3 linked regions of the Tamandua tetradactyla genome follow. Each later gene encodes a partner of the first gene's protein in a complex. Links are inferred from orthologs where the notes say so. Each region holds a gene or a part of one and is shown in the gene's direction. Other genes may lie near its edges.

The links. The genes of interacting proteins can lie anywhere in the genome.
Region 2: TAF5 (region 1) and TADA2B share a complex: the UniProt entries of both Homo sapiens proteins name them as parts of the TFTC-HAT complex. The link is inferred for Tamandua tetradactyla from reciprocal best matches to the Homo sapiens genes TAF5 and TADA2B.
Region 3: TAF5 (region 1) and TAF11 share a complex: the UniProt entries of both Homo sapiens proteins name them as parts of the TFIID basal transcription factor complex. The link is inferred for Tamandua tetradactyla from reciprocal best matches to the Homo sapiens genes TAF5 and TAF11.

What each region holds. Positions count from the first base shown.
Region 1 is NC_135339.1:65,359,872-65,366,935, forward strand, and holds the start of TAF5 (transcription initiation factor TFIID subunit 5), read left to right. Parts: upstream 1-3,980; 5' UTR 3,981-4,000; coding exon 4,001-4,559; intron 4,560-6,554; coding exon 6,555-6,792; intron 6,793-7,064. UniProt on the Homo sapiens protein: The TFIID basal transcription factor complex plays a major role in the initiation of RNA polymerase II (Pol II)-dependent transcription.
Region 2 is NC_135345.1:5,797,654-5,805,791, reverse strand, and holds the start of TADA2B (transcriptional adapter 2-beta), read left to right. Parts: upstream 1-4,933; 5' UTR 4,934-4,969; coding exon 4,970-5,239; intron 5,240-8,138. Other genes in the region: CFAP184 (cilia- and flagella-associated protein 184), read right to left, coding at 2,571-4,304. UniProt on the Homo sapiens protein: Coactivates PAX5-dependent transcription together with either SMARCA4 or GCN5L2.
Region 3 is NC_135331.1:91,175,385-91,182,416, reverse strand, and holds the start of TAF11 (transcription initiation factor TFIID subunit 11), read left to right. Parts: upstream 1-3,827; 5' UTR 3,828-3,907; intron 3,908-4,270; coding exon of another isoform or gene 4,271-4,476; exon of another isoform or gene 4,477-4,639; intron 4,640-4,660; exon of another isoform or gene 4,661-4,906; intron 4,907-5,422; 5' UTR 5,423-5,920; coding exon 5,921-6,091; intron 6,092-7,032. Other genes in the region: ANKS1A (ankyrin repeat and SAM domain-containing protein 1A), read right to left, coding at 4,271-4,476. UniProt on the Homo sapiens protein: The TFIID basal transcription factor complex plays a major role in the initiation of RNA polymerase II (Pol II)-dependent transcription.

The sequences.
Region 1 (7,064 bases):
AGATATACCTTTGTAGTTTATGGTATATTGGAGTGGCTGAAGGGGAGTACCCGAAACTGTAAAACTGTGTTCCGGTAGCCTTGATTCTTGAAGACATTTATATAAAGATATAACTTTTACAATGTGACTGTGGGATAGTGAAAACCTTGTGTCAGTTGCTCCTTTAATCTAGGATACGGACAGATGAGTAAAAAATATATAGATTAAAAAAATAATGGGGGGGGGCGGTGCGATGATGGCTCAGTGGCAGAATTCTCATCTGCTATGCTGGAGACCCGGGTTTGATTCCCGGTGCCTGCCCATGCCAAAAATAATAATAATAATAAAATAAAATAATATAATAATAATAATAATAATAATGGGGGACAAAGTGTAAAATTAATTGGGTAGATGGAAATACTAGTAGTCAATGACAGGGAGGGGTAAGGAGCATAGGATGAATGAGTTTTTTTTTTTTATTTCTTTTTCTGGAGTGATGCAAATGTTCTAAAAAATGATCATGGTGATGAATACACAACTATGTGATGATATTGTGAACCACTGATTGTACACCATGAATAGAATGTATGTGTGTGAAGATTTGTCAATAAAAATATTTAAAAAACAACTCGGTCAAACTAAACAGATGGTTAACTCACACTGGGGGCTATCTCCCTCCCCCTCAACCATAGAGATGGTATAGAAATCGATAGATCTATAAAAACTGTAGGAAACCTGAGGCTCCCTGTGTGTATGTCTGAATGTGTGTGTATGTGTGAAATAGCAGTTCCAAGAGGAAGATATCAGGGAGCTACACACAGGAATTGATCTGGGGAAAAGTTTTTAATTTGTGTGCTTTTCTCGTCCCCATCTCACCCTGGATCACCACCCGTCCACTACCTCATCCTCACCATCCATCTCCACTGAAAATAAGTAAAACCACCACACCATCCTAGAGATGCCAGAGACTGTGGGGTTACATTAGAGCAGCACCAATCAAGAAAGATGGCAGTAAATGTTCCAAGAAATGATCATGATGATGAATATGCAACTATGTGATGATATTGTGAATTACTGATTATATATATAGAACGGAATGATCAAAATAGGAATGTTTGCGTTTGTTTGGTGTTTTTGGTATTTAAAAAATAAAAAAAAAAAAAAAAAGAAAAATGGCAGTGGGGACCGAAGGAGTCAAGGGTGTTTGTGTGAGGATGACAACAGGGCAGTCAGATCCATTGGCTCTATACCCTCCCCGACCCCATACTTTGAAGAATAGGTGAGACTAGATAGCTTTTAGGAAAGAGCCAAGTCTAGGGTAGAGATTGAGTATAGGAATTGTACTATAGCAATTGACTATAGGAAAGTTTTCTGGGGTCAAAGACACCTGAAATATTTGTGTGTGTGTGTGTGTGTGTGTGTGTGTGTGTGTGTGCACGTGCCTGCATGTGCTCTTGCACTTATGCTTCTGCTGGCAAACAAGTAGTGATCGAGCCCAGACAGTAAGACTGGAAACTTTTCATCTTGTGGTACACCCGCCACCTTTTCCCAATGCTGGCCGTCAGTCTTTCCTTCTGCTTATACATAGCAGTCAAGGTAACTGGTACTTCCAAGGAAAAATGAATTCATGGAGAAAAATAAGGAGATGTAGGAGTACAACCCCATTAGAGCAAGAAATTGAACAACCTAGACTTGGTGAATCAGAATAAATGCCCCAGCCTCAGGTAGAAAAAGAATTTAAGTTTAACACATATCCTCAAAGAGAAAAGGGTTCATGTTGATTGTACCAGAGTTTCACAACCTCAGCACTGACATTTCTGGTCAAATAACTCTTTGTCGTGGGGGGCTGTACTAGTTTGTTAAAGCTGCCGGAATGCAATATACCAGAAATGGAATGGCTTTTAAAAAGGGAATTTACCAAGTTGGATGTGTAGAATTCTAAGGCAATAAACATGTTCAAACCATGGCATGCAGAGAAAGATACTTTGGTTCAAGAAAGATCGATGGGTCTGGAACACCTCTGTCAGCTGGGAAGGCCACTGACTGGCGTATGCTGGGGTCTCTGGCTTCTGGGCACCTCTGTCAGCTGGGAAGGCACATGGCACGACATCTGCTAGCTTTCAGTCCTGGCTTCTCATTTCATAAGGATTCCCTGAGGGTGTTTTCCTTCTGCATCTTCAAAGGTCTCTGGCTGTGTGGGCTCTGTCAGCACTAAAGCTTTTTCCAAAATGTTTCCCTCTTAAAGGGTTCTAGGAAGCAAACCTACCTTCAATCAGTAGAGATGCATCTCCATGGAAACCACCTAATCAAAAGGTGCCACCACAATTGGGTGGATCACATCTCCAAGGAAATAATAAAAAAAATTCCACCCAGCAATACTGAATGAGGATTAAAGAACATGGCTTTTCTTGGCATACACAATAGTTTCAAATTGGTACAGGGACTGTCTTGTACATTGTGGTATGTTTAGTAGCATCCTTAGCATCTACCCACTAGATGCCAGTAGTTGTGACAATCAGAATATCTCCAGACATTGTGAAATGCATTCATTGGTATCATGAAGCAGGAACAATAAACCATAAAAAAGAAACAATTCAAAATACCAGAAAAACATAATGGTTGAAATAATTCAACAAATGGGTTATGTAGCAAAATGGATGCAAACTGAGAATGAATTATTGCAATGAAAAATCAGGCAGAGGAACTCTCCTATCAATTGTCCAGAAGAGATAAAGATGAAAATATGGAAGTTAAAAGACCTATAGGATAGAAACAGATGTAACATTATCTACCTAATAAGAATACTAGAAGGGGAAAAGTAAATAGAGAAGAGGAGATATTTATGATAAAATGCTTACTAATTTTCCAGAATTGAAAAAAAAAAAAGACCTCAGATTGAAAGGATGTGAAAAGAGTCAGTCAAGATAGAGATGAAAAATCCAATCCTAGACACATGAGAATAAAGCTAAAGAACACCAAAGCGAAAGAGAAAGATCAAAAAAGCAGCTCTCCTACAAAGGAGCAAGATGCTGATTGATACCAGACTTATCCAAGTATCCTACGAACAGAGTAGGAGGAGAATGGTAGTAGGAAGTGAGTCTTGCAGACATTCAATAAAATTATCTCAATTGTGGTGTAACAGAAAAAACACTACACTTGGAGTAAGCAACCTGGGCTGAACTTCCAACACAGACCTTTTCAAAGCTCAGAGATGAGTCAAGTAAGAGGCTGACCTCATGGGGGTGGGGTGTGTGCAGAGGGTTGCAGTGCTTTTTCAGGACTCCTCAGTTTCTGGGCTTCAGCTATACAGCTATTTAGGGCCTGAGCCGTGACACTAATGTATACATCAGAACGTTAATCTGTTATTCACAATGGGGTAAAACTTTTGCAAAAGTAAAAACTGCACACACACACAAAAGTAGCCGCCACCCACATTAAAATAAAAATGTCACCCGTATCTCGGAAGCTTCCCTTTGGCAAATGGCATATGCTTTTTTTGAAAATATAAGTTCCATTTGGGAAGTTGTAGGTTTACAGAAAGACCATTCAGAAAAATACAGAGTTTCCATGCCTCCATTTTGAACATTTTGGCATATGCTTTTGAGTTAAAGACCTGGATTCGAACACTGCAACTTTCACTACTTCTTCTATGACCCTGGCAAGTCATTTAACCTCTTTGGGTCTCTGTTGAACCATTTATAAAGTGGGTCTAATAATACCTCATATGCCTGGTGAATTAAAGGAGTTCATATAATAGAGAAAGTCCATAAAATGCTTGGATATAGCTGGCCTAAAATAAACAGTAACTATTATCAGACAAATTAATAGGCGGCCACCAAAGCACGCTTCCTGCCTTTCCTTCGCTTTGGAAAATTGCTTTTTCCCACTCCTTTTCTCCCTCTTTCTCGCTCCTCCTACTGCCGTAAATTGTCATCCAGAGCTGTCGTGAAATGCTCCTCCCCCTCCTCCATGTGGCGAAAACGCAATCACGCTTGACGGCGCGGGGTGGCTCAGCCGCAAGATGGCGGCGCTGGCGGAGGAGCAGACGGAGGTGGCGGTCAAGCTAGAGCCTGAGGGACCGCCAACGCTGCTACCTCCGCAGGCTGGGAACGGCGCTGGCGAGGGGGGCGGCGGCACCACCAACAACGGCCCCAACGGCGGCGGCGGGAACGTTGCGGCCGCGTCGTCGGCCGGCGGGGATGGCGGGACCCCCAAGCCCGCAGTGGCTGTCTCCGCCGCTACACCGGCGGGGGCGGCCCCGGTGCCCGCCGCTGCTCCGGAGGCCGGCGCTCCCCATGACCGACAGACTCTGCTGGCAGTGCTGCAGTTCCTACGGCAGAGCAACCTCCGCGAGGCCGAAGAAGCGCTGCGCCGCGAGGCCCGGCTCTTAGAGGAGGCAGTGATGGGCTCCGGAGCCCCAGGAGAGGTGGACGGCGCCGGGGCCGAGGTGGCAAGTGCACTTCTCAGCCGGGTCACTGCCTCGGCTCCCGGTCCGACGGCTCCGGACCCCCCCGGCACCGGAGCTTCGGGGGCCGCCGCAGTTTCAGGCTCAGCCTCAGGTTCTGCGGCTCCGGGAAAAGGTGAGTTGCGGAGTCCGGGGGAAGCAGGGCCAGCACGAAGGGGAGCTAGCCGGGAACGCAGGGGCTGGCAGGCCTGCAGCTATGCGGGCTTGTTTTGAATTTCCTGAGCCCGCCTCTAGGGCCACATGCCCGCCCCTTTCTCTGGTGCGCCGGCTGCGCAGTCAAACCCTCTTCCGAACTGTCATTTCCAGCTAGAGGCTGAAGAGAGCTGTTGAGCTGAGGGATGTATGGGGAAGGTGGACTCGAAGTGGCGGGGTCCTTCAGGCTTTTGGTCTCTGTCCTCTCATTTGGGCTCCTAAGCCTTGGGTAGGTCTACATGAACACTAAGTCTTTGTACAGTACCGTATTAGCGGACGAAGGACTTTAACTTACTTCTCACAGTTCTACCGGGAGGTAGATACTACTTCTGTTTTAGAGATGAGAAAACAGATTGAGAAAGATCAAAAGACTAGTTTTGAACCACACAGCCAAGGAGTGGTGGAATATAGTGTAGGCATTGTTTTTTAAGAGTAAGGCTAAGTACCCCCAGTGTTGAAATGTTTGCAGATGCAGATTCCTGATCACCACTTAGACATAGTGAATCACACTTCTAGAGGTGGAGTCTGGGAATCTGCATTTTAAGTAAGTGCTTCCAAGGGATATTGATATATGGCAAGGTTTGCGAACCATTAGTTTAGAAATAGGGATGGAACAGACCTGGCTTCAGATCATGTCTCTGCTGCTTTTACTTGTATGGTGCTGATTAAGTTATTCTTCCTAAGAATAACTTTTCTCTCTTTTAAATGAGTTATTATGAGCATCAGATATATGTGAAAGGATGGCATTGATAGGCTTATACCTTACTAGCCATCCCTCACGTCTGATACCCCCCCTTCTCCCAACAACTGTTGTCACAAAGACCATGCAGTAGAAAACTCGTACATAATATAAAGTCTCAGAGGTAATTATGAGCTGACAAGAAGTGTTTATTGAATTAAATTATCCTGTTACGAGCTTCTAGCCTTATTAATCGATAATTTATGAGACCTAATCTTTGCAATATTGCCAGAAGTGAAGTATGAATACATAACAGTGTGACTCATAAATAGATATGGGTGAAAATGTGAAGAGAAATCTTTTCTGAATAGTGAATTAAGAATTTTGTGAATAAATTATAAGATAGTATGTTGTTGGTTTTCTTACTGTAATCACTCATCTGGAAATCTGATGTATTTTTAGATCATAGTTGGAAACTCAGAGGCCATTAGAGTAACAAAAAAATAACATTCATGCAGTAAAGAGTCTACTTAAAAACTTAAACATTTCCAACAACCAAAAGCTATGATTCAGTTGACAGATGTATCATTTTTGGTATTGCTGTTATAAATAGTGTGCTTTAAATCATGTTTTCTGCCCCGAAATGGTGATTATGGAAATTTGCTTTAAGCATATAAAATAGAGTTAATTATTGTTTGAGATATAAATAAGTTTCCTCTCTTAAAATGCTTAACATTTTAGAAGAGTCAATAGTTGTACACATGTGAGGGTAACATGAAATAGAATATGTTATAGGAAAGTTCAGAGTACTCAGAGAGCTGGAAATGTTACTTCAGGGCATGGCTTCTGAAGTGGTGGTGGTGGTGGGGAGGATAGGTGCCATTTGCACTGAGTCTTTAGAGAAGATTAATATCGTTCTTCGATATACACATATCATCTTCTACAAAATTCAAATTTACAATGAAGTAGCTCCAAGAAAACATTAAAAAATTTTTTGTTATTGATTTCAACATATTACTTTAAGATATGGACAAGCTAAGCATGAGGTTTTGTCCTGGGTGAATGAAATGAAGTGAAATATCCCATTAAAAGACTATAATTGTGTTGGTAAAGAAAGGTTGAGAAGAGAGAGACAAACATATCTAAGAACCGGATAACTCTGGGGCTTAGAAAAACAGCCATAGTCACATGTGTTCATCTGGTCATTTTCTTGAAAGTTGGTTTTTGATTTTTGAACAGTTGCAAGTGTAGCTGTGGAAGACCAGCCGGATGTCAGTGCTGTGCTGTCAGCTTACAACCAACAAGGAGACCCTGCAATGTATGAAGAATACTATAGTGGACTGAAACACTTTATTGAATGTTCCTTGGACTGCCATCGGGCAGAGTTATCCCAACTCTTTTATCCTCTGTTTGTACACATGTATTTGGAACTAGTCTACAATCAACATGAGAATGAAGCAAAATCATTCTTTGAGAAGTATGTGGATTTTGGTATATATTTTATGTAAATATATAACTTGTGTGTGTATATATATGTATGTGTACATATCTGTAACACAAATATATGAATATATGTTATGTATAAGATTGCAACTCACAAAGTATATTGTGAAGGAGAAGTACTTGGTGCTATGAGTGCCTAAAATATGGGTTTGATCTAGTTGGAGAAATCAGAGAAGGTTCCCAGAGGAAGTGATGCTTTAAGGGAAGATCTGAAGATTGGGTAGGAGTTAACCAGATGAAGACAAA
Region 2 (8,138 bases), on another chromosome or scaffold:
CCCTATGGGGAAGGAGGGGCACTGACCAGAATTTTTCCCAAGCAGCACAGCAAAACGAGTGATCCCAGATTTTAGAAGCATTGCTCTTGATCCCAGAGTCTCAGATGTTTTCTTACACATTGCTCCTTTAGCTTCTTGCTCCTGCTCCAGAGCGCCAAACAAAAATAAACCCAAGATTAAGGTGTAGTTTATCAGGTGTTTAAGAACGAGTTCTGGAGTTAAGTCTTGAAGCCAACCATTGCTGTTTAAGAGCTCTGGGATCTTAAAGAATTTGCTTAAATTTTCTAAGCCTCATTTACCTTTTCTGTAACCAAAGTTCAAAAAGGGTCCTGAGCTTTTGAGGATTAAACAAAATAAGATATTGAACTAATTGTATCATTAAAAAAACAAAAATAAAAAGCTTTATCATAGCTAATGAAACTCATAGCCTTCTCATTAAACTTTTAGTACCTGGCACTTTTGGTGAATTTCATGAATTAGGAAAAAAAAAAAGGAATTTCGCCTCCTAAATACATGTTCAGTGAAGAAAATTTGGAAATACAGAAAAGCAAGAAGTAGAAAATAAAAATTACTCATAATTCCACCACCCAGAGAGAAGAGCTGCTGTTTACATTTCATTCCGAAATTTTTCTCATGCAAAAAATTTTTTGTATGCAGTATGGCAGGGTCACATTTCATTATTTTTCCATGTGAGTATCCCAGTATTGCAGCACCATTTTTTGGTTGCTTTTGTTTTTTTGGAAGTGCATGGACCAGAAATAGAACCTGGGTCTCCTGCATGGTGCCATTGAACTATCTTTGCATCCCCTTCTCATACAAATTTATCCCCACTTTACAAACAAGTAGTTTGAAGCTTAGTTGAAGTGTTTTGTCCCAGGTCCCAATATTATAATGAAAGCCATTTGCATCTCTGCCACTTCACTTGGAAGCCTCCAGTGGGCTAGTACTGCTTTTCGTTTGCGGCATAAAGAAAACAAAGTTCCGTTTGTCAGTGTTTAATTACTACTTTCTCTTTGGCCTTGATGAAGGAGGTAGGGGAAGAAAAAAAAATCTGTAGAAGAGTAGAATGGAAGCAGAAAGTTAACACATTTTCCTCATTATTAGAATTGTGGCTTGATTAAGTCTGGTGTTATCAAGTAAGTGTATTCAAGCTGTGGACATTGAAGAACTTTTAATCTACCTTCACTGACTTCAAAGGGCACCATTTTAGAAAAGGAGATGAAGTTGCCTGAAGTTACTGGAATGTTCTACCCCAAAGTTTTTGAACACTCTTGGGACCAGGTGAGGTGTCTGCCCAGAGTGGGGTTTCTACCATTCTTAGGGTATCTAGCACCAAAAAAAGAGATCATCCTTCTTAGGGTCCAGTTAAGTTAAGGACTAAAAGAATCTCTTAATCCCAAGTCTGAACATTTCAAGATGAAACTCATAATTGAGAGGAAGTGAAAGCAAGTCCCTAGCTCCAAAAGCATCAAAGAAAACTGAAAATGTTGGTCACTGCTCCAGGTTGTTAAGCAAACAGACCTATCGTGTATTTAGTATTTAATATTTTAATATTTGATAGTGACATTACGTGTGCAGGGCCCTGTTGGCAAGATCCAAAAATAACTTGTTTTTTAAAAAGAGGCTTATGGACATTCAGCAATAACTGTTCCATATACTTCTCACCTGGCAAATACCCAATGCAGTCATTATTTTGTTTTTACTGGAAAAAAGAATTTCACTTTTCTGTACAGAGCAGTGCATTCTTTTAGACGATCCCAGAAACAGCCGGGAGAGAACTGAAATCTATCACTGAGCGTGAAACAAACCACGACTGAGCCTCCTTTCCCTGAAAAAGAGACGAAGGAACTTTAGCTCCTTTTCCTAGTTTTATCAATTCTTCTATTTTGTGGATTTTTTAAAATATTCCAGAAACTAGTGCTAGTTACTAACAAATCAATTTAAGTCATTTGGGGAATAGTCTAATTGGTGAAGTTAAAAAAAATTTTTTATTCAACATAACATACAAACACAAACATTCTTACCATATGATCATTCCATTTTTGATAATCAACTCACAATATCATCACATAGTTGTATATTCATCATGATCATTTCTTAGAACCTTTGCATCGAATTGGTGAACTTTTAATTGAGACAACTGACCCAAGACTACACATTCAAAGGCAATTTAATAGTTGGCTTCACGTGCGGGAATTTTTCCATAGCCTAGCACTCCTCCATGTGAAAGAGGGACAGTACTCCTTAGTATGAAGTCCTTCAAATGGCAGAATTGCTCAGGTATAAAGGTCTTCTGTTACCTTTTTAGGAGACGTCAGGCCCATTAAGTCATCCCTGGATGATTTCTCTGGACTTATTTTGGTGAACCCCATCTGCAACTGAGTGCAAACCCAATTTTGCATTCAACACTGATTTGGAAGCTGAAAAATCAGTATACATACAAAATATCATTCCATTCTGAATGTCATCAGCCTTTGGCAGAATGGCAGCAAATGGAGAGTGAGAGTTAGTGAAGGATAAAGTTGGTTGAGATGGAAAAAAGTTCTACCGGCTCTCCTTATTCACCATTGTCAAGAGGGGAGAAAGGCCTTGGCTTCCCTGATCTTCTGCTTCACACCTCTGCAGGACAGAGCCAGGCCAGCGTGATGGTGCTTCAGGGACTCTAAGCGCTGGTTGAGCAGGTCAGTCTTGTCCACCTTTTCTTCCAAGTCCCGGAGAAGTGTTTCTTTGCCAAGAAGCCCGCACTTCTGATTCAGCTTGACATTGTCAATCCGCAGTCTGTCTCGGGCTTGCTTCGTCTTGGTCAGGATGTCCCGCTTTAGGGCCACCTTGGCCTCGATTTCTGCGAGCTGGGCCTTTTTGTACGTGTTCTCGATCTCCATAAAGTGTAACTTTTCCTTCACGTGGGTTATTACCTGCACATTGTTGGTGACCTTGCTGCGCAGTTTTAGGAGTTCCTCATTCCGCTCCTCAACTTTCTCATTGAACGTTTGGTTCTCGATCTTAAGCTGCTCGAAATCGATTAGGAGCAGACCCTCCGTCAGGTCTTCCTGGGCCCGCATCCTGGTTTCAAAGTGCACCAGGCTTTGCTTCAGCTGCACGTTCTCCAGCCTCACAGCACTCATCTCCTTCTCCTTCTTATCCTCCAAGGCCTGGATTTGCTCCACCTCCCGCAGAGCCACCTGACGGCCACCCTGCATCCGACAGCTGCCCATGGCCTGCATCACCACCTGCTTCTTGAGGGCTTGGAAGGCTCGCCACTCCTTCTCCACCCTGGCAAGCTTTTGCTGGCAGTGCTGCTTCAGCTGGTCCAGCTCCTGGTGGTACCAGTCCAGGTCGTCTGCCTCTTGCTTCCTCAGCTCCTCCAGCATGGCCAGATAGCGCAGGTACTGCTGCTCTTTCTCCGGGGCCTCTGGCTCCAGGCCCTTGTCAGGCACTTCAGCCGCATCCAGGCCCTTCTTCTTGCGCAGTGCTTCGTAAATCTTATGCTGCAGGTACAGGTTGTAGCGCTGGTAGCGGCCGCGCTCAGTCAGGAGGGTGCGGTACTGCTCCAGGAGCTCGGTGCGCAGCTGCTGCTCCTGCTCCTTCTGCACCTCCTCAGACCAGCTCCGCTCCTTGTCCTCATCTTCGTCCTCATCCTCGATGGTTAGGTCCAGACTTTTGCCTTCGCCCTCAAATTTCACCTGGCTTTTTTCCCCACCCCTTCCTTCAGCGTCCTCACTCTGTTCCTCCACCTTTCCATCCTCCTCCTCCTCGTCCTCCTCCTCCTCGTCCTCCTCCTCCTCCTTCGCTTCCTCCTCCTGTTTTTCTTTCTCAGCCTCCCGGACTGGCGCGACCTCTCCCCAGATGACCCTGGACAGAAGCGGGTCTTCTTTTTTCCTCGCCCCGTGCTCCTCTTCCTCCTCTCCTTCCTCTTCCTCCGCCCCCTCCTCCCTCTTCCCCACCTCGTCCTTCAACTCCTCCGGCCCAACTTCAGATCCCGTCTTGGGGAGCTCCTCAGAGGGCTGCACCTCAGTCCCGGTTTCGGCCGGTTCCCCTGGCTCGGCCTCGGACTCCGCCGGCTCCTCGGGCCCCACAGCAGCCGCAGCCTCGGGAGCCACCGGCCCCTCCCCGGGCTCGTCCTGTTCAGCCGCGGCGCCCATCTCCGACGCCTCTACGGCCGCAACCTCGGGCTGCGGCTCCGCGGGCTCCGCTGGGGTCTGGAGGCTAGTGCTGGAGTGGAAGCCCGGCAGCCGCGAGGCCAGGCTTTCCACATCTCCGTCTTCTCCCACGGCGTCCCTGTTGATCACAGAGCGGTCCTGCATCTCCCAACCGCTCAGTGAGAGCCGCGGATCCCGGCTGCAGACTATTAGGTTTCCAGGGGCAACCGCGCGCGTGGACGCTGGACCCGACGATTGGCCGGGAGTGAGCCCGACGCCCCGCCCCCGCTCCCCGCCTCCCTCTTAGAGAAGGCCAATGGGAGGCCGCAAACGAACAAGGATCGGAACTGATTGGAAGAGGGTGTGGGCTCGCGCCCCGGGGGGCGTGGCTCGCCGCGCAGGCCTCCCTGCCGCCCGTTTCTCACCTCCCACCCTGGGGCGGGGCGTCGGGGAAACGCCGGCGTGGGCGGCTGTGGCCTGCGCGAGAGTCTAGTGGGCCGCGCAGGCGCGGAGGCGCGAGGCGGGCCTCCGCGCGGGGCGCCTGCGCGATGCGGCGGAGCGACGGCGGCGGCGGCGGCGGCGGCGCCCAGGCCGGGCCGGATGGCGCCTGCGTGCTGAGGCAGGTCGGGGCCCGGCTGGCTGGCTCCGGCGGCGCCTGGGCGGGGACGGCCGCGGTGGCGGCGGCCGGTGGCGGCGGCGGCGGCGGTTGTTCGTGCGTGGTGGCGGCGGGCGCTGGGGGCGGCGGCGGGGCGCTGACGCCGGGCTCCGCCTCAGCGGCGTCGGGCCGGGCAGCGGCGGCGACGGCGGCGGCGGGCGGCGAGCGGGGGAAGATGGCGGAGCTCGGTAAGAAGTACTGCGTGTACTGCCTGGCCGAGGTGAGCCCGCTGCGCTTCCGCTGCACCGAGTGCCAGGACATCGAGCTGTGCCCCGAGTGCTTCTCGGCCGGCGCCGAGATCGGCCACCACCGCCGCTACCACGGCTACCAGCTGGTGGACGGCGGGCGCTTCACGCTCTGGGGGCCCGAGGCCGAGGGCGGCTGGACCAGCCGCGAGGAGCAGCTGCTGCTGGATGCCATCGAGCAGTTCGGCTTCGGAAACTGGGTGAGCGGCGGGCGGGACGGGAAACTGAGGCTCCCTGGCTCTGGGGCGCCCCTGACTCCCAGGCTGAGCGCGGGCACTGGCAGGTGATGGAGAGCTAGTGTCCTCTCCTGTAGGATGGGCTCTGCGCGTCTGGACACTGCTGGCTGCTCCCCTTCTCGCCCAATAGACTACCTCCCAGCCCTTGCCTTGCTCGTGTAGTGCTCTCCCCAGGCGGCCCATGGCCCTAGGCTCAGTGAACACCCCACTTTACAGGTGGGGAAACTGATGCTGAGAGAAGCTGAGCAACGTGGCCAAGGTCACACAGCCAGGAAGAGGCAAACTGGAGATTTGAACTCTAGCTTTCTGACAGCAGAGCTCATTTTCGTGATCTTTCGGGATACCTTCCCCATATCTATACTGAGTGCAAACAAGGGGCCAGACCTGGGGAGTTCCTGGAGACAGGCAGTCCTGACAGCATGATAGGAGCACTGAAGAAGGAGGGGGTTCTGCCTGGAGAACAGTGGTGGAGAAGGCCAGGCAAATTTCACACATGCCCTGAGGCTTGTCTCACTGTCTCTCGTGCACTTAATCTGTGTTCGTGGCTCTGTGTGCTTTCTGTGGTTGTCTGTGTGTGCCTTGTTCCCTGCCAATGCACAAGTTCTTTGGGGGCTGGAGCAATGCTGAGAGTGGTCGGTAAATAATGAATAGAGGATGATGGAACAGGCAGGAGTCCTGAGTTTTTGCCCTGTTTATCAGAAGATTTTTGTCAAAACTGTTGGTGAAAGGGAAAGGTGGGAGCTGGACTAGATTCATTTATACTTACAAGATAGTGCTGTGGGTTCCTTGAAAGAGAGAAATGTGGTTCTTCTTTCAGTTATCCTTAAGGAGCTCTTTCCACTCCAGAAGAGGAAGCTTTCATTCGTATTAGAAAGGAAAAATCTAGCTGTATTCTCATCTGTAACCACCAAGGATCTGTGGCCATCTTCAGTTCTTTACAAGAAGTAGGTGCCATGAGACATAACCCTAGCTCCCTAATCTTTCTGGTCCCCTCCCCTGGTCTGTTGTGGCCCCCCGCTTCTCCGGCTGCACTTCCCCTCCTCCCTGGTTTACTGAGAGAAGACATTCCACACTGGCCCTGTTCTAAAACCTATACTTGTTTTATTTCCTTTTTTGTAAAGTGAATCATTCTCTGGGACCATTCCCCAATCCCCAAAACCTGGCACCTCTCTTCTTCTCCCGACTCCTTCGAGCAGACACTGTTCCACAGATTCTTACCCACTGGCCAGCTTTGTGATCACCGCTCTCCTAAAACCTCAGTCTCGCTATATTGTTAAATGTTGCTTATTGATGTCTACTGAAGGTCTTCCTTGTGCTGGTTCTGCAGTGGTGCAGGACTCTGAAAGAAAGGGAAGATTATAATCCCTGCCTCTAAGTAGCCTAAATTATTTTAATCATTTGGTCTGAGCTCTTCTCTAAGACCCAGCCTTCTGTGATGTCCTCATCTGCTTATCTCAGACATGGCAAATGGACCTGACCCATATCTCACCTCCTCATTCAGGCTAAAAACCCAGGAGCCATCCTCAGATCCTTTTCTGTCCACTTCCTCACCAATCCAGTCTTCAGAGCCTGTGCCAAATCTAACGACTGCTGACCTTAATCCAGGCTCTTGCCAGCTGTTGCCATTACCACCTCTGGAGCCACCTAACTGGTCCCCTGCTTTATTCAGGTCCCCTGCAGCCCATTCCACGGGCTGTCATTGGAGTGATCTTCTAAAAACATAAGTCTTACCATCTCGCTCTTCAGCACCTTCCAGGATGCCTAGGATTCAGCCTCAGGCCTACCAGGCCGACCTTGCCTCCTGGCCAGTGGGAGCTCGGCTGTTCCCTTCCCCTGGATTGTTACTATTCCTTCTGCCTGGAGGGATTTTCCTGTTAGTCCTGGCTTGTGACGGATCTTTCTACTTCAGTAGCCAGAGCGACTCTGTCTTCCTCATGCCATTCTTCATGCATTTATCTCTATAATAGTGGGTAAAGACAGCTACAACGACCGAGCACATGCTGAGTGTGTCTCTCCTTAATGCCCCCCAGCAGCCCTGGGCAGTAAGTTTTGAACTGATGTGGTGTGACGTAGAGTCTACAGTCCTTACTGCCCTTTTATAGAGATAAATGCATGGAGAATGGCATGAGAAAGACAGAGTCTCTCTGGCTACTGAAGTAGAAAGATCCGTCACAAGCCAGGACTAAGAGGAAGATCCCTCCAGGCAGAAGGAATAGAAACAGTCCAGGGGAAGCAACAGCTGAGCTCCCACTGGCCCGGAGACAAGGTAGGCTGGTAGGCCTGAGGCTGAATCCTAGGCATGCTGGAAGGTGCTGAAGGAAGATGTGGTAAGACTTATGTTTTTAGAAAATCACTCCAATGACAGTCTACACTGCCCTCCTCCCTCCCGTAGTACTGTGGAAGATACACAAAAACAAGTTGTGGAAACTAAAACATCTTAGCTAGTGGAAGAGGCTTAGGGCTGGGAGGGGGCAGGTCTCTTTTGTAATACAGTGCTTTTCTAACATCAGTGTGCGCTGAGCAGCCCAGGGAGCTTGTTAACTTGCAGACTGTGAGCAGGTTCAGAGTGAGGCCTGAGTGTCTGCATTTCCAGCAAGTTGCTGCTGCTCTCTACTGCTGCTTCTGCAGACCGCACTCTGAGGTTGCCAGGCTGGAATACTTCTCTGGCTGTGTTGCCTTGGACTAGTTGCTTTTCCCCTCTAGGCTTCATATTTCTTCATCTAAGGCTGTTCTCCAGCTCTGAGACGTGTGGTTCTCTATGAACATATATTCATGTGTGTGCACGTAGGTAAGGATATTCCCCATTTATCACAGATTTAGCATGTGCCTATAACTGGGCCAGGCTCTTTATCTACATATTTCA
Region 3 (7,032 bases), on another chromosome or scaffold:
TTTTCTATACCACAGAAAGTATCTCAGTAATCTTCTGGAAATCAGAGTGGGGAACATTTTCTGAGGGCTCTCCAGTAAAGAGACAAGCTCCTAACCAAAGGAGAGCCTGAAGTCTCCAAGAACAAACTCCTCACTGTCTACTTTTGGGGTTTCCTTGGTGTGTCTGGGCTATAAATCCCAGCAATTTACTTTCCTTACAAAAGACTAGGGCAGAATTAGACTTGACTTCCTCTTTCAAAACCAAAATTCACAGCTGTTTTGGGGTGAACAAACCAAAGGGGAAAAGAAGCCTTCTGAAGGGATTTTTCTGGCAAAGGATGCATCTTTCACTAGGACCATACTCTCCTGTGACAAGTGAATATAGCTGAAAGTGACTGGATACAAATCAAATTTCTCAGACCACAACACTGTTCCTTTGTCTTTTATCTTCAATTTTTGTAACTAAGAAGATACAGTGAAAACTGAACTTTAATTAGAAAATTCAGAAAAAGGGAGACCACTGACTTATTATAAATACAGGTTTTTACAAATAGATGCCCTAGTCAGTTTAAATTAAGCATATTCCAGATTTTTAGATAAAAAGTAAGCACATAGAAGTCATTTCCATGCATGCTACTTCTGTTTCGTTTTAACAGAGGAACCAAATTCTACTTTAGAAAAAAGCAAAAATGAACACAGCTGTCTCCCCAACAAAATTGTACTTAGGAGTATTTTAAGAAGTTCTTAACAAACTATATTTAATTAAATGAGGTTAGAGGACAATTGAGAAAACTGTTAACCTAAGTGGATCGTTCTGTTTTTTTTTTTTGCATTCTCTTAAGAGAAAACCTTAGATCTGACAATTCTATAAGATACTGTGTCTAGGCCCTTCCATTCTACAATCCTTTTAGGATCAGTTTATCACTCTTCCTTAAAATATTAAAATCATTTCCCACAAAATAGATACATGCAAAAGAAAGCTGGCACAGAAAAGTAAAATGGTCAGCATGAGAAAAAGCTACCCTGACATTATAATCCCCAAGCTACTAATCCATTCTGGGGATGAAAAAAATCATTTGACAATAGAAGGTTAAACTAACCACTCTCAAAAAAAATCTGAATTTCTTCATTAAACTTTCTTAAAAACAATTGTCATATCTTCTGACATTTGGGAGAACCTGTTATTGTGCCCAAAGTGAAGCTCATTTTTAAAAAATTTTCATTCTTTAACTTATTTCAGATCCTTTTCATATTTTGGGGGAAACGTGTGTCTGGTTTTGGACAGTCTTATTTTTTGCTCATATGGCAGAGTAAAAAGTAGCTTATAGCTACTTCAGAGTTCTCCAGCAAGCCTCCTCAGCTTCCTCTTATTCGTTTTCCTTATGGTTGAGAAATCAAGCATAGAATTTTCCTAAAAGCATGACACAATCTCCCCCTCAACTACAGCCTTTGGTTTACTTTCTTCATGCTGCTGAGCCTGAGGAGTACGTTTCACTTTACCTTTCCACTCACATACATCAGTATTCAGCTCAGAATTTAATTTATCGTTTTAAGCTATGATCTGATGTTTTCCTTTAGCATTTCCCTTTTCTTAGACCTTTCTGAACTTTGATAGAATTCACTTTTAACCCAAATCTTACTGAATTCTCATACAGAAGTTGCTTTTATGGAAATCTAAACTCATATGAGTTGATGAGCTACTGTGCACTACTATAAATGATATGATCTAAAGAAGCAGGAGCTTGGCAGATCTTGTATGTATTAGAGACATGAGGAAGGGTTTTAGGAAGTTAAGATCTAAGACCAGGTAGTATAAGAGAAAAGGATGGGTGAAAGACGAAGGCATTTAGTAGCTTAAGATAAAGTAGCACAAGGCCTCTGTAGAATGGAGGTGATTAGCATACATAAAAACAGATGTGATTTTAAATATTTATACCATTTGCAATAAGAAGCCCCTATTTCCTGCCTGCCAGCTTTACTTGGTCACTCAAACGGCTGGACAAATGTGGGGTTACAGATGGCAGTACTGCTGGGGTGGTAGATGGTGGCTAAAACAAAGGTCAAATCTGAAGCAATGATCCAACAGCTGTGATTTAATAACTCAGGGTCCTTGAGGTAGAGGGATAGGGTAGAGGGGACTTACCTCTTCTATTTCCAAATCTAAAGAGGGAGGACATGCCAATCTAGGGATTATTTAAATGTACGCTTTCATTTGCTTAGAAATCTTTCAGTTTTAATCACAGCTACCTCTGAGATAGTCACAATTAATGACACACCTAGTACCTTCAGATCCTCCCTGCCCCTAAGAGCGGCAGGGATGAGAGGCTCCAGCAACTTTTAGGCCTTTTACCATCTTAACAACAGACATGGGAGCAAGTCTTGAGGAATCAGTTCTCTTATTCAGTGAAATGGAGATACCACCCACCCTGTATCACAGAGACTGGACACATTATCATGAGGCTCAAAGTATAAACATTTGCTCAACAGACATTTCCTAGTCTTGCTGAACTACAAGGCACCTATATGCTCAGAAGAATTTCAACAGCCCCTGAGTGAGAGCACTAAGAGTGACTTGGCCTGCAGTTGAAGGTGGGAGATATACGAAAGGTTCTGGCTTCACTAGGAGATGCTGGGATTCAAGGTATTGCTGGCAAGCATCCAAATGCTACATCATTCCATTCATTAGAGGTAGATGCAACCCCAACCTTGTATAGTCTTTCCCTCATCTCCCAGGCATGAGAACTACAAAGTAATAAAGTAAAGGAGGTAAAATCCAAAACCCAATTCATGCATTCAAAGTACCGTTTATTGAGTACCTCTGCACTGTCAGGTACTGACCTAGGCACTGAAAGACAAATAAAAGATTTATCCCACCTACCTCCTCCTCCTAGTGCCACACTAGCACCAAATCAGTCTACTTCCCACTTCTGTGCTTCTGATCATGGTGTGTCCATCTGGAATGCTCTTGCCATACTTCACCTATCCAAATCTTCACCTGCTTTAAGGCCAGCTGAAGTTCCCCTCCTTCCTGAAGCCTTCCCTGACCCTCATCTCATCCCAAATAGTTAATAGTTCTTTTGTCTGAACTACTATTACAGAGAGTACCACCATCAATCCATTTAGAAATGTATTGTCCTACAATTGATGATTTTATTTACTCAACAAATATTGAGTACCTACAGTTTGTCAGCATTGTTCTAGAGGTTGGAGAGGTAGCCATGAACAGTACCGTTTTTGCTTCCCCAAATGAAGCTCCTAGGGAAAGTTCTTCTCTTATACTGCTTGTTTTGTTTTGTTTCGTTTTAAATAAATCATCCTGCATAGAGGATACTCAATCCTTAAATGTAACCAGGTATTAAAGCCTTGGGCTTTTTTGGCCCAAGGTTACTCAAATCGAAGTTACATAAACTAATGGGGAACAAATGCTAACAAAGCCATTTCTAAATAAACTTCCACTTCTTAAAAACCTCAAAAGAACAAGGAAGGAAAAGAAAGCAGGCTATGAAAGCGGTGCTGAACCAACAAATTTTTACTCACAGTAAAAAAGCATCTCCACACACAAAAATGACCATTTCCCCCTCAATCCTTACAGCTCCAAATCCAAGTGTTTATTTTAGCAACAGATCTTGGATAGTTAAAAGCACCCCTGAACAACTCTTTCTAATTATTTCGTGATGAATAAATCTCCTGAAGAATCCTGCACATGCCACTTAGACTAATCCAAACAGATTAAGTACAAGGAACTAGAATTTGAGCTTCAGTCACAAGAACACTCTAAACGTGACAAATACTGAGACAATTTTACCACAAACAATGAAAGCCAGGTCTCGCAGAGCCTGGTGGAAGGCTCCAAGTTCCTTAGAGAAAGGAATAGAATTTCCTCCGAGAAGTCGCGAGATTTCACAAGGCGTGGGAATTTCTGCAGGAGGTGAGGGAGATTATATATAGGTTTTTTTTTTTCTTTAAAGTGGTTTGTGAGACACGACAGTTGGCAACCTATAGCGGGCGAGGGTGAAGCCGAACTGTGCCATGCGGCGGAGGCTGCCACCTTGGGCACTCCCACCATTCTTCGCAGCCGAGTCAGGACAGGAGATGAGGAGAGCCCCGCACCGCGCGGACCGGGACCCGAGCCCCCTCCTGCTCCCTGCCCTTGAGGCCGCCTGCCCGCGCTCCGGCACACCCCACAAACCCAACCGCTCGGGTCTCAGGAGCCCGGATCTCTGTGGATCCCAGGAGACAGGCTGGGTAGAGGGGATCTCGAGGCGGTGGCCGGGCCTGGACGCGTACCCACCTGAGCAGACTAGAGAGGGGGTGGCTCGAGGAGCCCAGGCCGCCGCCGCTGCCGCTGCCGCTGCCGCCGCCGCCACCGCCGCCACCGCCCCCCGAGCCGCCGCTGCCCCCGAAGCCTGAGGAAAGCCGCTTTCCGGACAGCAGCTTCTCCACGGCCGGGAGGTGGCCGGTGCGCGCCGCCTCCAGCAGCTCTTGTTCCTTCCCCATCCCCAAGCCGCCGCCCCTCTGGACCCCTGCCCCGGGGCCGCTGCCGAACCCGCTTTGGCTCCCAAACTTTCTGTCTCCGGGCAACGCACCCCCCAGACCGGTCGGGGACACCACTCCCCTCAAACCCGCCCCCACCCCGCGTTTTCCCCACGCGCGCGTCACTTCCGGGACTCGGCGTCACGCGTCACCGCGCCCCTCTTCCCGCCCTCTTGCCCACCTAGCTGGGCGGAGCTCAGAAAACTGGTGCAGGTGTCTGGGATTGGCATTTAGCGGACCTCGCTGTGCGGAGACTGGGCTTGGAAGGGCCAGGGGACATCGCGGTGTGGCTGCCACCTCCCCAGGTGGAAGGGAACGAACGGCCCACCTGTACGCGCCTTCCGGAGCGCTCTGCTTCCTCAAAAGTTTTGGGAGCACACTGGAAAGAAATACGGTAATTCATCCAGGCAGCATAGAAACAAAGAGAGAAGTATGGTAACGCGCATCTACATTTCCAAGTTCATTCTTACACCGCACATAAGTACTTAGTGATACAGACCTAGTGATACAGAGATGAATAAAATATGCCTACCTCCCATAACTGAATGTGCGCGAAGGAGAGAAGGGAGGAACATTTAAAAATAAACATAGCTCACCTCATCTTCTCAATCCTTGAAATGGCTCATTAGGGCAAAAGGTTAAAGGAGATATATGCACACATCGGTAGCATTTGTTTCCTCTTTTGATGAGAGTAACGAAACTGACATAAAAAGTTAACGTTTGTGAAAGCAACCCCGATCTTGAATTCTGATGAGTTGGAAAAAATCAGTGGGTAGGAACCATGCCAATTTAGTTCACTTGTACCTACCACCGTTACTGGTTCTAAGTAGACGAACCAATTGTAAACTAAATAAATGGACTGGATAAGTTCTGCTCAAGTTAAGTCAGTGAATTTATGTTTGTTTTTCAGGTACATGCGGAAAAGAAGGGAAATGCTGGCAACTCGGTGTAAACATAGGTCTCTTTAATTGAAACGTACGAAGTTGAGTTGCTGCCTGAAAGTTCATCAGACGAAGGCAGCCGCATACAACGACGCGGGCATACAACGGAACTGAGTTTTCTTCCCTGTACCCCAACTTCTTTCCTCCAAGGGAGGCGGATTAGGAAAGGCGTTGCCTGACATTGCATTTTTAGAAAGGAAGAAAGGAAAAAGAAGTCCTTCACAAATGCTGGCTCTCCCAAGGTAGACAATCCGCACCCCTAATTTTTCCTTTCCTAACCATCACCCCCAAATGGAAGCGTAAAAACGAAAGCTCAGAGACGTCTACGCGCCCCTGAAAATGTCCCCTTCGAGGAGCTGTAGAGGTGATGTCATCTTGGCGCGACAACGGGAAGTAAGCTTGTGGGCTGCAGTGCTGCGCGGGTTCCCAGCCGTGGTCTGACAGCGCCGCGATCTAGTTTCATAGTAATGGAAAATGCCTGCGAGTCGCCCACAGACAAAAGTGGAGAGACAAGGGAGTCGGATGAGACGCCTGCGGTTCCCTTGTGCTCCGGCGCCACCGACACAGATATAATCCGGGAGGAAACTGACGGGGACGGAGATGGGGACTTGAAAGAAGCCGGAACGGAGGATGGCGAGGTAAGGAGACATGTGTTGATGGGGCTGGAGCAGTAGCCCGAGATTGGGTTGCTGACTGTTCGCAAGCTTCCTGGTTGGTTCCTCTCAAGCTACGAGAACTTGAATACACAACGACTCGTCTAGATTTGCAATTGTGGAGGGAAAAAGTTAGTACTGGTTCGGTTTCAAAGGCCTAAAGAACTAGGTTAATATTTTAAATCACTACCCTTTGAGATTAAGCTACTTCTAAGGAAATTTTAAATAGCTTCTTGGTTTTCCTGGTGAGGAAATTGAGATCTGATGAGACTTAGTGCAAGAGCCAATACTAGAACCAAGGGTTCTCCACTATTGATTAGTATGCCTTTCACTGCAATACGATTCCTCTCAGAGGTTCCGTGAACATAACTTCTGTTTCTATAGGTGGCAGATGCGATTGGATCCGTTAAAGGGAAACTTGAAGGGAGTTATTTGTTTAATCATGTTCTTACCTTCTTGAGGCATGACCTGGGTACCAATGTCCAGGAGTCTCTTGAACATAAAAACACTAAACCCATCAGTTGGGTCACCCTCAGAGTTTAGCAGTGTTTCCTAGCCAAGCATCAGTCAAGGGACCAGAATCTAAGTGATCATGACCATTGGGTTCCATATCTAGAGATAGAATCTTAAGTCTTAGAGCTGGAAGAAACTTAAGAGATCACGGAGTCCATATTAGAATAGATGGAAACAGCCTTCTTTCGGAACACTAAGTTGCATCAAAACATACGAAATAATAACTTTTAGATATAAAGAAAAAAGTGACAAAAGTAATTTGAGAAGAAGCCTTTAAAACAGGATTTGAATAAAATTAACTTGGTCCAATAGAGAGCACATTAGCTATAAAATTTTGCACCCAACAGAGGACGCAATTTTTTTTGATGCTTCTGAAACACTTTAAAAAATTGATCAGTGTACCAAACCACAAA